2 linked regions of the Arabidopsis thaliana genome follow. The protein of the gene in region 2 interacts with the protein of the main gene of each other region in a pairwise test. Each region holds a gene or a part of one and is shown on either strand. Other genes may lie near its edges.

The links. Proteins that work in one complex are often made in the same cells at the same time.
Region 1: the proteins of ATBET12 (region 2) and SVL4 interact in a protein complementation assay, tested with the Arabidopsis thaliana proteins (one large-scale study listed by BioGRID).

The regions. Positions count from the first base shown.
Region 1 is NC_003076.8:23,493,749-23,501,406, forward strand, and holds SVL4 (SHV3-like 4), read right to left. Parts: upstream 3,854-7,658; 5' UTR 3,762-3,853; intron 3,655-3,761; 5' UTR 3,639-3,654; coding exon 3,527-3,638; intron 3,391-3,526; coding exon 3,094-3,390; intron 3,012-3,093; coding exon 2,902-3,011; intron 2,812-2,901; coding exon 2,313-2,811; intron 2,237-2,312; coding exon 1,916-2,236; intron 1,828-1,915; coding exon 1,688-1,827; intron 1,616-1,687; coding exon 1,132-1,615; intron 1,049-1,131; coding exon 750-1,048; 3' UTR 501-749; downstream 1-500. Other genes in the region: FIP1[V] (FIP1[V]-like protein), read left to right, coding at 196-252; YKT61 (SNARE-like superfamily protein), read left to right, coding at 4,529-4,721, 4,870-4,943, 5,012-5,101, 5,191-5,295, 5,512-5,577, 5,789-5,875, 6,330-6,380; TIL (temperature-induced lipocalin), read right to left, coding at 6,764-6,949, 7,034-7,408.
Region 2 is NC_003075.7:8,306,837-8,314,764, reverse strand, and holds ATBET12 (Target SNARE coiled-coil domain protein), read right to left. Parts: upstream 4,447-7,928; 5' UTR 4,284-4,446; coding exon 4,270-4,283; intron 3,967-4,269; coding exon 3,816-3,966; intron 3,351-3,815; coding exon 3,294-3,350; intron 3,206-3,293; coding exon 3,146-3,205; intron 3,046-3,145; coding exon 2,960-3,045; intron 2,852-2,959; coding exon 2,827-2,851; 3' UTR 2,381-2,826; downstream 1-2,380. Other genes in the region: AT4G14450 (uncharacterized protein), read right to left, coding at 4,869-5,246; HCD1 (3-hydroxyacyl-CoA dehydratase 1), read left to right, coding at 7,103-7,819. UniProt on the Arabidopsis thaliana protein: Required for vesicular transport from the ER to the Golgi complex. Functions as a SNARE associated with ER-derived vesicles.

The DNA of each region.
Region 1 (7,658 bases), on a different chromosome or scaffold from region 2:
GCTGAGAGTCATAAACTGGAGTTGAAATAAAAAGCGATGAACTGTGGCCCTCTTTGGCTGGGTTGAGGAAAGTTTGATTCTCAATGTAGCTTACGATGCTTAAACGGATGACATGAGATTCTCCCATCCCACGGAGCAGTTGTAGCAGTAATGCGATGAAAGATCAAGCTCAATGGAGATTATTTAGGTGTTTAGGGAGAGTATGTGTGGGATGAGCGAAGTTGTGTAAGAATAGGGAGGGAATACGCATAAGGATAACTCTGAGAGAATACTCTTGTAGTAGTTGATGTAACTTTTGTCAAAGATTATTGGTCTTTTAGTTTTGTTCTTATACTTAGCGCCTCCGGAGAGAGCGAGAATATTTTAAAAATACTTGACAGCACTGTATTATATACTGTAGTAATTTTGTTACTATTTTAAATTTGTACTCGGCCTTTGGTCTTGATCATTAGTGTTAACAATGTGAGTTATCAGAAAGCAACAACTATGAAAGTAGAGACTGTGGTAACGAAGGATCGTAAATAAAATATGAAAGATTATCAAGACTCAAAATCTTTACCGAAAAAAACATTCCTATGACAACAAAGAAAGTTTCTGTAGAGCTTTTGATCTATAACAACAAATCACTGTTTGATGCATATTTTGGTTAACATGAGTAAAACATAGATAACTCAAGTTGTGTCAGTTTGAAAACGCTGAGGGCAAACATGTTACAACCTATATGAGGTTATATGGTGTGATCAATCTCTTTAGGCTGTATAAAGGAGTCCCAAAGCCATCATTGCCAGCAAGGAAAGGCTGAGATTAGCAGCAATGGCAACGGTGCCTGAACGAGGAGGAGTTTGTGGCGGACCACCTTCAGTTCCATTGGAGGCCAACTTTGCAACTGGAGGCAGAGGCGGATCAATCACGTCTTTGGCATCAAGAGGTGGGTTTGGGGGAATAGCTGGTAGTTGTGCTTCCTTGTCTGCCACGGTGAGTAGAGCTCCAGCATCTGCAGGTAAGATGGCATAGGGCTGGTCTTTGTTCAAATCTGAACATGGACTCCCTGCATTTGCATCAAATATAATTGATCAGCCTTATCTTGGTAATGTTTTTGTTTTTTGTTTTTTTGTAGAAGTTTAAACTTACTTAGGTATCTGGTAGCGGTGGCAGGGAACTCCGTGATGACTCCATCAACGCCTCTCCCTGCAATGAATGTTGCAAGCTCTATCGTAGGATCAGAGAAGTAGTCGAACGCTATGGCGATGTACTCATTTCTTAGCACCGAGACGTATACAGAGATATTCGCTTTGTGCATTTCCTCTACCACATTAGTTTTCCCCGTGGCAAAGCTTTGGGAGACGGTGATGAGGGAAGTTCTCAAGAGATTGACAGCATCTGCATGCTTCTTGATTTCTTCGATGGATGTCTTAGGAGCATCTCCGATCTCCTTGTCGATACTCAAGACTCTTGTGTAAGGAGGGACAGCCTCGAAACTAGATAGAACTGAACTGTCATCCGACTGAATCAAAACCTTCTGGGTTGATTGCTTGTCGAGTGTGGAATTTGTAAGAGCAGACTTGACTACGTCTACGACTCCTAAGCCTTTCTTCGAGGCTAAATAAGCAGCATTCTGTCAACAAAAACAGTGTTAGTGGAGCTTCCTTGTGTTAGTCAAGGAGCATTTGGAAGTTAAATGGCTTGCCTGAATGTTGATTAAAACTCCGGTGACTGCCTTTGCTTTGCCGAGCTCAAGGAAGTCCGCAAGAGTCGTGAACTTCCCGGCGTTCTTGTTTGCGGGGTTTCTCTGGAAGCCCGTGGCAGTGAAGGGGTTTTCTATTTGTGCTGAAGACAAAGATATCCCAATGCTCAGTGACTTAGTTGAGAATAAGATTAGTTTAAGAAATCTATAGAAAAGAAATCAGTTTCTTACGCTTCACAGACTGGATCTCGGCCCATGTAAGATCAAAAGAGAAGATTCCGTTGGTAGGCTGGATCTCAGGAACGCTGGTGGCTCGGGACATGAAAGTAGTCCTGGCGGTGGTACTTGCTGAGAGGTCTGCAGCATCATGGCAGAAAGCGATTCCGTCTTTGGACATCTGAACAGAGCAGTCAATTATGTCTGCTCCATCGTCGATTGCTTTCTGGTAAGCCAGATCAGTGCAGCCTGGATAGTCTCCGCTTGCTCCATTGTGAGTTATAACCAATGCATGCCCTGCTTTGGGGAGATTGCCGTTTTGGTGAGAAAAGCAAGCTGCAAGAAAACAGACGCTTTAGCTTCTTCTTAATAATCAGCTATCTGAGGAAACATATATAGCAAGTCATCTCACTGATTGATTGTGATGCTGTTGGCGGGAAATCGGTGATGACACCATCAACAGAGAACTGGCCATTGTCCACAAACTGGAGATACTCAGCAGAGGGATCATAGCTGTAGTTAAAGCTGGTGCGCAAGTCGTTGGCAAACCCTGAAGCATAGACCTCTAGACCGGCTTTGTGAGCATCAGCCACAAAAGTGGTGGCGGGCTTAAGGTACTTAGCTGAGTCAATGGGCCAAATGTAGTCTTTGGGCACAAGAACGCCTGAAGCAAAGGCCTTGATGGCTGCGAGGTTCTGCTGAATCTCGCTGTACTTCTTGTTGGTGGTGGGCTCAACTGCCTCGGGGTCTTTGAACTCAAATATGAGCTTTGTCTTGGCCCTGCCCGCGTCCATCCCGATGCTCTTCAAGAAACCAATCTCTGGAGATGAGATGACATTAATGCCGCGGAATCGCAAGCTTCTCAGGTACTCGGCTGGGCTCAGCTTGTGTTCCATGTAGAAGGCATCGTACTGCACATTTGCATTGTTTGTTGTTTTGATGAATCAACAAAAAAGCTCCATATGTTGGTTAATCATGTTCTCAAAGAGAAGAAAACATACCTGAACGCTCAACCAGAACTTGGGAGGCTTGGTTCCAAGGACATCCTCCACTGCAGAAACCGACATTTGGCCGTCGAAGATGCTAGGCCGAGAGAAGATGTTCTGGACCACTGCTCAATAATACAAAACATGAAAATGTGTGGTGGTGGTGGTGAGCATTGAAGGGAGGAAATGAAAGAGAAGAAGACATACGAGTGACTTTGTTGAATATGGTGTCGGCATCGTAATCAATGACAAACCAGCCCTTGAGGTCCTGACCGTTGACCTTGTAGGTCTTCTGGGCTTTGGGGAAGACCGAGGAGATGGTGGTTGCATTGTCAAGTCTGATATCTGACAAGCAAAGGCCCACACCGTCCTTAGTCATCTGAAGGTTGCACAACATTGTGAAGCCAGGCGAGCTGGTGCCAATAGCCAAGTCGTTTGCAGAGATGCTTGACTCAGGGAAAAGACCCGAGAAGCCCCCTCTGGCCACAACGGCAGGCTCTTGTCCTGGAAGACAAAAGACAGGTACGGATTCTTAGAAACAAACAAACAACATGGTATCTTAAGTCTTAACATTAAACAACAACAAAAAAAAAAACATGGTAGTATGCAATATGGGCATACTCTGTAAAAGGATGCTTACCGTTAAGGGTAAGCCATTTCTTGGCAGGAACAGCTGCGGCAGCAGCAGGAGTCTTGGGTGCCGCAACAGAAGAGTGTAAGAAAAGGGAGAAAAGAATGAAAAACCTCAGCATCTCTATCTGATTGATCCTGCATTTGTGTGTAACGTACGTACCCCAATGGAAAAGCAAAGTCAGGATACATGTAACAAAAACAGAATTGTCACATTTAAGAAAATTGTGAAAGAGAGATCTTACAGCGAGAAAAGAACATGAATCCCCTCTCCTGCTTGTTTTCCTCGTTTAGTTAGAGGAAAGGAAAAAGAAGAGAAAGAGGAGATGGGTCAAACAAGGTTAATTAATGGTAAAAAAAAGTAACTTGCTCTCATATCCTCCATTTATGGCCATTTACTCCTTTCTATTTTTATCTCTTCTTCTCCACCATTCCCTTCTTAACCGCTTTTTCTTTTTTTGATGCTTTCTTACATCTTCTTTGCACAAATGGGTGTAACACCCCTCAGTTTTGGACTTTGTACTATATTCATTTGTCATACATGTATGTAGTTAAAATGACAATATTAGAGTTTGGCATTCGGACCAAACCAAGTTGTCCGATCTAAACCAAACCAATATTCCGTTAATAAGAAAACTCGATTGGCAAAAATTAAAATATTCTTTGGTTTCAGTTTTTGCCTAGACTTAAAATTCTTAAAAATCCAATTCTATGTGATGGAAAAATCTTTGATTCCGGTCCAATTCTGCATCAATATATGCTAAACCGAACCGAGACTGCCCACATAAAATTGAATTGAACCAAAGGTTTTTAATTTTTACTTCAACATAGCGAATAAGAAAAAGAGGGTATATATTCATTATTCAATGTTAATGAGAAGGCGTCTGCGTTTGGTTCGACACCTCAAAACTTGTTTTGCCTTTAGCATCTCCGAGTAAGGAATCCAGGTCCAAAGCCTCTTCTCTTCCTCCTCCTCGCTTCCTTCTCACGCAACCTTGGATCCACCGCAGCTATGAAGATCACCGCCTTGCTCGTTCTCAAGTGCGCTCCCGAAGCTTCTGATCCCGTCATCCTCTCCAACGCTTCGGACGTCTCTCACTTCGGTTATTTCCAGCGATCTAGCGTCAAGGAGTTCGTCGTCTTTGTCGGTCGCACTGTCGCTAGCCGAACCCCTCCTTCCCAACGCCAGTCTGTTCAACACGAAGGTTCTTCTCCTTCTTCTTCTACCTCTCTAGATCGATTGTTTTCAAATCTTCTTTCTCCCGGATCTAATGCAATCTCCTTTCCTCTTTGATTTTTATTCGATTTCTAAATTCGGATCGGCTTTTCGATTTTGAAACTTTTATGATTTAGGATGTGCACCGTTTCTGATTCTAGATCTTCCTGGACTATGCCCCGGCTTTAATTTCTTGCGATTCTATCTTATTGTTCTAGTCCTCGAATTTGGGATAATTAGGGTTCGTGTTTTTATTTTGTTTTTGGTTTAGAGTACAAGGTTCACGCTTACAATAGAAATGGCCTTTGCGCGGTGGGTTTCATGGACGATCATTACCCTGTTCGAAGTGCTTTCTCTCTTCTCAATCAGGTAATATCATTATGTTGAAAGTGGTTCTCAATGCATCATTCGTAAGTTTTCCTGTAATTTGGGTTGCTTGACATTTAATTTTGTCTCAGGTCCTAGATGAGTACCAGAAGAGTTTTGGTGAGTCATGGAGGTCTGCAAAAGAAGACTCCAATCAGCCTTGGCCATACTTAACCGAAGCTTTAAACAAATTTCAGGTTCTTCACTTGTGCAACTGTATTCGCTCTTTTACTGTGAATTTTGTTAAAACTGTAGTTATATTAAGCTCAGTTAGGTGGACATTAGAATCCAATCGAATGATTCATTCTTCATGAATTAATTTTAGTAGCCCCCATTGTTTTATGACCATGTTGGATTTTGAGTGATTTGATCTTAAATTGATTTTGGGATTGTCCCGTATTTGTAATCTTCAGGACCCAGCAGAGGCTGATAAGCTGTTGAAAATCCAGAGGGAGTTGGATGAGACAAAGATTATCCTTGTAAGTGCTGTCTCCGGTCCTTTCTTGTAGACCCTTATACATAAGCGGTACTTCCTTTTCTAAGTTTCAGTATACTTGCCAATTATACATAAATGCTGTTCTGTCGGTGAGTTTACTTTCTTCTGAAAAACACCAAAACAAGAAGAAAGTCTTGGTAGTTATGATGGATGTCCCTGTCTCCGTAAGACTGATTTTTTGTTCTGTATTGTAGCATAAAACCATTGATAGTGTTCTAGCCCGTGGTGAGAAGCTGGACAGCCTAGTGGAGAAGAGCTCAGATTTGAGCATGGCATCACAGGTAACATTCTAAAGTCACATTCTAGAAATTCTTATAGATTTAGTTTCCTTTTTTCCCTGTCTCGATCTCTGAGCATAGTTGGTGAACACGTTAGAAAGGGTTGTTGATTTAGCAGGCTTATAAGTGTTGTTGATTGATAGAGGAACTATTGCATGTTATTGTTGGGGTAGATAAATAGAGGAAGAATGTGGATTTAGAATACCTTCTTTGAAAAAGCTTTCTGCTTCAGCCTGCAGACATTTGAGTGCAGTTTGAACTATACAGTTGGATTTTGGAATTATTAGGTTTGCTACGAAGAATCATAGTGTTTTTTGCTATATCATCTGACCATGGGGAGGAACATATGTATTAGTCATATCCTCTGGAATCTCAAGATATTCTTCGTTATTTAGATTAGGTAAACCATGTTTACTTCCAACATGAAAATCTGATTTGGTTGTATTGGTTGGAACAGATGTTTTACAAGCAAGCGAAGAAAACAAATTCATGCTGTACTATTCTGTGAGCTGGAAGTCCTGCTGGGTATATAGTCAACCAAACTTTTGCTGGGGGGAGACTGTTTTTTCTATCGTCTTATCTATACATATAATTCCGTCTGTAGTTTGCATGCATTATTTTGATTCCATAAGTCTCGAGTCGTGTGGTGTGTTTATCCAAATACATAATGTCAACTTCTGCAAGATTTGAATTGTCTTTCCCAGATTTGATCTGATTGAATTTGTGTGCGCTTCCTTATGGTAAAAGAGACGACTTTGCATAACTAGATGAAGATGTCGTAAATAGACAAAAGCAGATGATGGAAGATAACTAGAGTAGACAAAGGGGGTAGTATATTACACAGACAAAAGGATCAAAGAGGTGAAACAAAGTCTTTGTGTGCCGTGTAATCTATTTGCCGAAGAGAGATTTGAACCACCAAACGCCCTTGGAGTCTTCAGGGGCAGTGTTGGACTCAGGTGGTGTGTCACTCTGAGGAGTCTTGTGAAGCTTGCTGATGTCATAACCTTCCTCCACTGCCTTCTCCACCAGCTGCTTATACGTCTCTTCCTCCATTTGCGCCGTCCTGCTCAATATCTACACCACCCACATATACAGAGTCAATCATTTTTGGGATCAATTTCGATTATTCGTTAAAGAGAAAAAAAAAAGAGTACCAACCCAGAGATAACTCCTGGAAGGCTGGCCAATGAGAGCGTGCTGGTAGTCAGGATCGATGTAGAGCACCCAGTAGTCTCCGGTGACGGGAATGATTGGGAGGAAAGGAGGGACATAGAACTTGACTTTGAGCTTGGCTTCGTCGCTTTTAGGATCGGCCTTATAGGCGCTGCCTTCGATAAAACCCCTCTTCCCGTTGCTCCACGTTTCGTTCAAGACGTGTATGGTACCGTCGGGGTTAAGGGTGTAGGTGGCGCGAGTGTCGACGCCGTTCTTTGGCTGAAACCTTGATGGGAAAGAAGCAATCTCGTACCAACGGCCCATGTATCTCTCCACGTTGAGCCCTTTCACCACTTCCATCTCTTTCTTCTCTGTCATTTCTCTTCTTTTTCTTTTCTTCTTCTCTAAGATTTCGATGTTTTCTTTGAGGTAAAAGGATAAGAAGAGATTCTGTTCTTTATAAGGAAATAAAAAAATAATATCAAGGAGATTTCGCTGGGACGAGAGGATGCCACGTGGAAAGCGTGTAGGGCAAGGGTTCTAGTAGCGTCTAGCAGTTACAAATGTGAATAAAGGTGGAGGACACAAATGTCTTCCTTGTTCTGTGGGAAGAAGGATACAATACAAT
Region 2 (7,928 bases):
AGGTATAGGTTTAAGCATCAAAATATGACGTCTTGTTTGATCAAATCCTTCATTCAATTCCTTAAGAAACTTAGTCACTCTACTTCTCTGTTGTAAATGTTCCCATTTAACTGCAGCATCACACTCACAACGACCACATGTACAAACTGGGAGCTCAACATAATTTCTGTGTTCTTCCCACAGAGTTAACAAAGCTGTATAGTATGTTGAAATATCCATAGATCCCTGCTCTATTTTACTTAACTTCTGTTCTATATCAAAGATCCTTGGTGCATCATCTTGCTTGAATCTTGATAACAGATTGTTCCAAATTCCTTGAACAGTAGCTATGTAAAGTAAACTCTGACCTATCTTCTTATCAACAGAGTTCATCAACCAAGTACTAACAATATCATTACACCTAGACCAAGCACCAAAATCTCTATGATCCTCAGGTGGTTTAGTAATCGTACCGTTTATAAATCCCAATTTGTTTCTGACATTCAAAGCCATCAAGATCGATCGACGCCATGAATGAAAATCTGAAGCTGTCGTAAGTCGATCTGACACAAGAATCAATCCAGCGTGATCTGCACTATGAAGATAGTACGGATTCTCATATTGATCTACTGGATATCGAATTTGATCACCATTGTTGATCGGAGGACGAGTCACCGGATTCGCAGGTGGAGGTACATAAGATCCCATTCTCAGAGTAAGAATGAAAAATTACAAAGAAAGCGAGACGAATTTGATGTATAGAAAACGAGATTCGCTCACGCTAAAGGTCAATTGAAGGAAGTAAAAGAAACAGAATGAAAAATACTCCGGTGAATCGGAAAAATAACGAATGGCATAAGCGAACGAAAGAATCAAAAGAAGAAATCGAAAATGAAACTCTCTCCCGATGAACACAACAAACGCGGAATCAATATATTGTGCTCTGATACCATGATAAAATCCGATACATCGGAGATTCAAGATCGGAGAAGAGAGACGAAGAAGAAGATAACAACTTTTCTTATTCAGCTTAAAGTGTTGTTACAACCAACTTAACTAACAAAGTAATCGAGATTAAACTTATATACATAAGATTATTGTGGTTAGTAAACCACATTCAACCAAACCAGTGATAACCGAAGTTAACCAGTCCTATATCCTTAATACTCCTCGCACATGCCTATATACGGCATGTATGTAGGTTCAATATGCAAGTTGATGTTCTTGAGTTCCTTGTCGATCGTGTTTTTAGCAATCATACCTCGCATTCTAGAAGCAATGTGCTTTTGACGGATATGACCCGTGTCATAACTCTGTTATGGCCCAATAGCTTCTGAGAGGTGTCACTTCTGCTAAGAGAGCATGCTTAGCATAGCCATGGTGGGCGTGCTCCAATGTATGTGCATGTACATTTAATTTTTTAGTCAGCTCCTTGTAAATATTCAATTAACTACGACGATAATTTGTGAGCTAGAGCAACCAAAGCTCGAATGAAGAGTTAATTGAAGAAAGCAAGTCATTTCCCGCAGCATCATGAATCTTTTTCTCTTAGTAATTAGGGTGGTAGGACATGTCGTATACTAGTCTTTCTAAAGGCTGAGTATTTCGTCGGCTTTCTTAGAAACGATTTCGATTGTACATTGTATATATGTCACGATTAGGTTGATGGATTCACTACCAACAGTATATTAGATAACCATGTAGCTTACTATTTTTTGAATGATCTATATATCTAACTTCTTCAAATAATTACACATATTTTTCATGTGAATCCAAAACACTTTTGTTTATAATCTAGCACCCTGTTTAATATATGTAGCATAACATCTGTTGTTGTGTTATAATATATTTATTTTACAAAAATCACATTCATATTTACTAACATGGTATTTTAGCATATACTAAAAGATCAGAAGAAATTGAAAAACTACTCCCGATTTAATAAGGTAACATTTTTTTTTTTTTACTTTTTTTCTATATATTGTGCCAGAACTCAAATGTTATCCTCTAGTAGCTATATTAAAACTCATGGTTATTTGACTATTTATCTAAACAGTAGTTTCAAGAAATTTACTATTTAGCATAGCAACCTGTTATTCACTCGTAAATTCAACATTTAAGACTATAGTTTACATAATTGTTAAGATGATTTGACCTAGAAACCGAACCATTTGGAAATGTACATGTCAACTTGTTGTCTATTACCAAACCAAAAATGAACTTGTCGATTATTGTCAACTTGTTACCTAAAGTGGAAAAAAAATCAAACTCTTCTGCATAGTAGTGTCCTGTCAACTTGTGGAATTGTTGCGAGTCGTTCAAAAATGATATTTCTCATGTTGTTACGTATTTGGATCTTTAGCAAAATGTCAATATACAGGACGGTATTTGCGCCTTAAAATTCTGAAAATTGGAAATTTTTGGAAACAAGACGCCAAGTTATCTTGTTTTTATTACAAAGTGCTAAACTTTTTTTCACAGAAAGCTAATAATTAAGCTTATCAATCAATCAATTAAGCTTTTTGTAGACAAAACTGCTAACATGAACCCAAGATCAAATAGTTGACAAATGATAAAGAAGCTTTTGCTACATTACATGAAATGACATGAGATGATTTTGCTTGTGACAAACAAGTCTCTATCAAACATTTTTTCTTTCGGTTGGTTCACTAGTCTCTTCACAATCTCTTTCTTTGTCTTGTTTCAATAGGGTTTCAATAGGGTTTCAATAGGGTCCCTTGACTTGTTTACTATGTCTGAATCATTCATTCATCAGGAGAAATCCAAAAATGGAAGTCCCAAACGAAACTATTCATTTAACACTCTACTTTCTTCTTGTATCCAAATTTACCCTTTGATGTAGTTTAATAGCCTGCAAAATCCGAAAGATTGTCAGTGTTCGAGTCAAAGAACAAGGACTTGAACCAGTCCCTAAGAAAAGTCAAGTGTTTTGATAACTATAAGAAGAAGTGTATTTTACCTAATAAGGTAATACATGATCAAGAACAGGAGCACAAAATAAGCTATGAGTTTGCAACTTTTTCGATTAGACTTCTTCTCAAAGACCTGTCGTGTTAAAATCGAGTTTTATTCAGATATAAGTTTTGATAGCGAAAAACAAAAGGGGTGATGCATATATAAAAGGTACGAAATCTTATTTACATACCAACTTGAAGCGGTTGATCGTTCCCGACATTATCCCCCTCGCGGAGTCCATTTTGTTCCCCTAGAGATACAACAACAAATAGCTTAGAAGAAAAGCATGTGATAGAGATCTACAAACTGAAACAGATGAAATCAAACTTTCAGCTTACCACTTTGTCAAGCAAGCGGTTATGATTCTCAACTTCTTCATGTATGTCTCCAGTCACCTGATAAGATATTATTACCAACTTACATCTCAGGCAAGCGTTATTGCAAACTAGATTTGACAAGAGTGAAAACAAAAAAGGCATTGTTTTCATAACTAGACTTTTCTAAGGCATTACATCATAGCTCGATCCTTGTCGTTGAGTCCGAAAGACTTATACAGGGTCTAGTGATAGCAATGCTGGAGAGAATGTTCTTAATCTACAATTTCAATACATATCTAGGAACTAAAAACTAAGTTCAATTTCTTTATATCTAGACTTTTCGAAAGCATTAGATCATCGTTCGATGCTCGAAAGATACATTTAGGGTCTCGACTTAGCAGTGCTTAAGGGACTGTTCTTTCTCAAACAATAAGGATCAGTAGCACCATCCATTTCACAATAAAGAATCACAATTCTTAATCCTAATGTTTATGCTTGTGTTGATATTTTGATTCTTTAGTTATATAGATGAAAGAAACATACTCTCTTGAGAAACGAAACTCTGTCCTGAAGATTTTCCAAAGCTTCATCATTATCACGTTCGTCATGAGCATACGAAGAAGAAGCTCTCAAGCGACCTTCTTCAAGTCCATCAAGGCCATCAAAGAGAGACGTTCTCGAAGCACGATTCTCCCTACAGAAATCAAAACCATTGGTTCTTAATCAGATCCAATTTTCTCCAATTCTAGTTGGATACACTCAATTCAAAATCTGGAAAACTGTAATTAGAACTCTAGAATTAGGTCAATGACTCAGAATCAGGAATTCGAATGTCGGTGATTCAAAAAACTAAGATTTCAGAAAGAGTGAATCTGGAGATTGTGAAGAGATCTAGATCAAATTCGATCGAGAGCAGAATCAATATCATTTGTTAAACATTGATGAATCTACATAAAAACAGGATTCGAATGCAGAGGAAGAGATCAATAGATCAAACCTTCGAAAGTTCATTTGATTCGTCTTCGATTCTACTCTCTTACGAAGGATTCAACATAACAGACGAATTTAGAGCATTGTAAAGGAAATTCTCGATTTGGATTCAATTCCAGAAGCGTAAGTTTTCGTGTTTTGTTTGCGAGAAACGTACGAAAGTTCTTACTGTACTACAAGTCCCTAGAAGAAGAAGAAGAAAATAGAATTAAATTGAATTGGGCTTACTGGGCTTTAGTTCGGCCCATATTGAATCCATGAAGTTAGTTTTTTTATTTGTTAAAAGTGAACACTTTGAAGAAATGAACTTTAAAGAAAAGTCCAACCCTAGATGTATGATGGGTTAATTTGACAATTTATTTAAAGAATTCATGCAACTATTTTCTCCATGTTTTTCCCATAATTTTGTTTCATGTGTTTTATGCATTTTTTTTTACCCATTTAGAACTTGAATTAATACTTTGTTAGTGAATAATATTATCTCTTAGAGGATAAAACTGATACAAAAACGTGAAAAATAGTTAACCGCGTGTAATATCACAGGAACAAAATTCACACGGGGCTGGTAGCTGAGTCATCAAATCTACAAAATTTTGATGAACCGTTCTAAACCTGGATGAACGGTGGGACAAACGTTGTTGGCTCGTAGCAGAACGGCGACGCGGGATGTTGCCATTTCTTGAAAACTGGTGTCTTCTTCACCTCTTCTTCCACTGGTATCTCAGTCTTGTTCTGCGGCGGAGGAACATGTGATTGGTCGAAGGATGATGTTAGAGAAGGAGCGAGCGGTGAAAGGAGAGGGATCGCCACGTTCCAGTTACTAAAAGACGTTGGTTTGATCATTAAAGACGGAGCTCGTCTCTGTAGCTGGCTAAGTTGCCTCTCGTTACTGGCCGCGGAGCTGCTTGTTCTTTGCATCGTGGACGCCATGGAGATAGATTTGTGAATTGTAGGATAATTGAGTACTTTTGTATCAAAGAACATAATAATGATGTTGGTGTGTGATGTCTGATGTTTATGTAGATGACATATATAATAAGGTGAGGAGGGCCACGACTTGTAACATGTTGACTAGGTACATTACATACACGCTTGGATATGGTCATTGGTCAGAGTTGGAGAAAGAAAATTAGCTGCTTTATCTTCCCTTTTCCCGTTTCTTTACATTTTTGTTTTGGCAATACTCTTTGACCAATTCTTTTTGAATTTTCCATGCTTGTTTTTATGTTAAAGTTCTTTTTAATATTAAATTACAAAGACATCGATCTTGTTAATGGAAGTCAAACATGTTCATGAAATGTTAAATGGTGGATGAGGTTTACCTATACAGATTCTCGTGAACATGTTCTATTGGACTTTTATAATATATATGGACCAGAGGTGAATATGAATATGAATATGTAAGTTGAGTCTAGTGCGGACAGAGCTTTACAATCTAAGCCACAAAACAAAAGAAAGCAAAAATCGGACCATGTCACGATGTGCTTAAATATGTGAGGTTTTTGCATTTTTCAGGCCAAGTCAAGTCAACTAGCCGCCTGATTAACTTCTACACGAACAAAAAAATGTAATCCAATGGTTTGTGTTAGTGTTGTCAGTGTGTCATCACCCTTATGGCCTTATTCAAACCCGCATATTGCATGTTGCTAACCAAAATATAAATAGTAAGAAAGTTAACATGATCTTGTAATATATGAGTATACTGATTTGTATTATAAGTCCCATCGTGGTGTCATTAATCGAACACAGAGCCGTCTCTAGTATTTAATAGATTGCAAGCAAAGAACAAAATTTAGACCTATTTTAATGAGTGAAAATGAAAAAATAACAAGGTAAATGAAGGTAGATGGACTCAAACTTTTGACGACCATAGGTATCTAAGAATCAAATAATCAACGTTTTTACTGAAAGTTATAAAAAAATTAGGTCAATATTTTATTTGTAGTAATTGAGGCCGCAAGCATAAATTTGGTCCTATTGCGTTCATGGACGGCTCTGATCGGACATAAATACGGTATAAAATTTTTTAAAAATAAAAGTCAATAAACAAGATAAATCTTAGTATTTATTCGGTATAAAATAAAAATCTTTGCATATTAAATAAATATTTGAATATGTATTTGAATTATAGGATCTTGTAAAATAATGATTGTTATATGTCTAGTTAACAGTTTTATCGGTTAGACCGGCTGGTCAAGTATGGATCTAAAGACACTGTTCTTTTCTATGTAGCTTGTGTATTTAATAAATTAAAGAGTTGGCGGACTAATATTAACCTAACTAATGTTGTTTGCACAACTTAAAGAGTTAGTGAACTAATTTAACTACTCATGTCGGTCTCTTATGGAATGTGTCCATGAGTAATGCTAAAGCAGAGATCTCAATCAATCATGCTTCAAAAATAAAGTTCATAGATTCAAAAGCCATGACAAGATATCTAAAAAATCATACGAACAGTTGTAAGTGTGTAAGCACTAAAAAAAGGTTGTTAATATTAATCAAGTGGAGACAAGGAAACCAAAATTGATTTAGCCAATAGCTGCGAAAGAACAAAATGGTAATTACGTCCAAGGACAAACAGTTACAATTATCATTTTCAGCAAGAAAGTCACACATTCATTCATACACATTTGTCTCGTCTGCATTTAATAACATTGACACCAAAATGGTTGGGAAGATTACCCAATTTAAAGACTTCGGTGGCAAAGCACGTCTAATAAATATACAGTTGGGTTCCCTTCTATTAATTACTCAACACTCACTTCTATATCACAGTTTTCTACTAACTCTTTCCTTATTCTTGTACCATCCTAAATCAGTAAGTCCTTAACGTACGCACCATGTGTACGTTAGAGAAGCGCGGCGATCTCTTTCTCCTAACCCTAACCGGCGAAGACGAGCACAGATTCCACCCCGACACGATCGCCTCTGTTCTCTCGCTTCTTGAACAAGCAAAGTCTCAATCCACAAAAGGATCCGTCCTCATCACTACCGGTCACGGAAAGTTCTTCTCCAATGGCTTTGACCTCGCGTGGGCTCAATCCGCTGGACACGGTGCTATAAAACGGATGCACCAAATGGTCAAATCCTTTAAACCGGTGTTAGCCGCCCTCCTCGATCTTCCAATGCCGACGATCGCCGCCTTGAACGGCCACGCGGCAGCCTCGGGGCTGATGTTTGCGCTGAGCCACGACTACGTTTTCATGAGGAAAGACCGTGGGGTTCTATATATGAGCGAGGTGGACATCGGGCTACCGGTGCCGGACTACTTCTCGGCGTTGGTCGTGGCTAAGGTTGGGTCAGGTATCGCGAGAAGGGAGCTGTTACTGAGCGGGAAGAAGCTCAAAGGAGAAGAAGCGGTGGCTCTCGGGATCGTGGACTCAGCGGCGCATGATAGTGCGGAAGGTGTGGTGGAGGCTACAGTGAGCCTTGGAGAAAGTTTGGCCGCTAAGAAATGGAATGGTGAGGTGTATGCAACCATTAGGAAGAGTTTGTATCCGGAGCTTTGTCGGATGGTTGATTTAACGGCAAATAACTTGGCCACTCACAACCTCTAGAAACTCTCATTGTCTTGTTGGGAGAAAAATGGTTGAAATATGAATATTGCCGACAAAAGTCAACGTCCATTTCACTAAGCACGTATTTGTTTCTCACCAATAAAACATA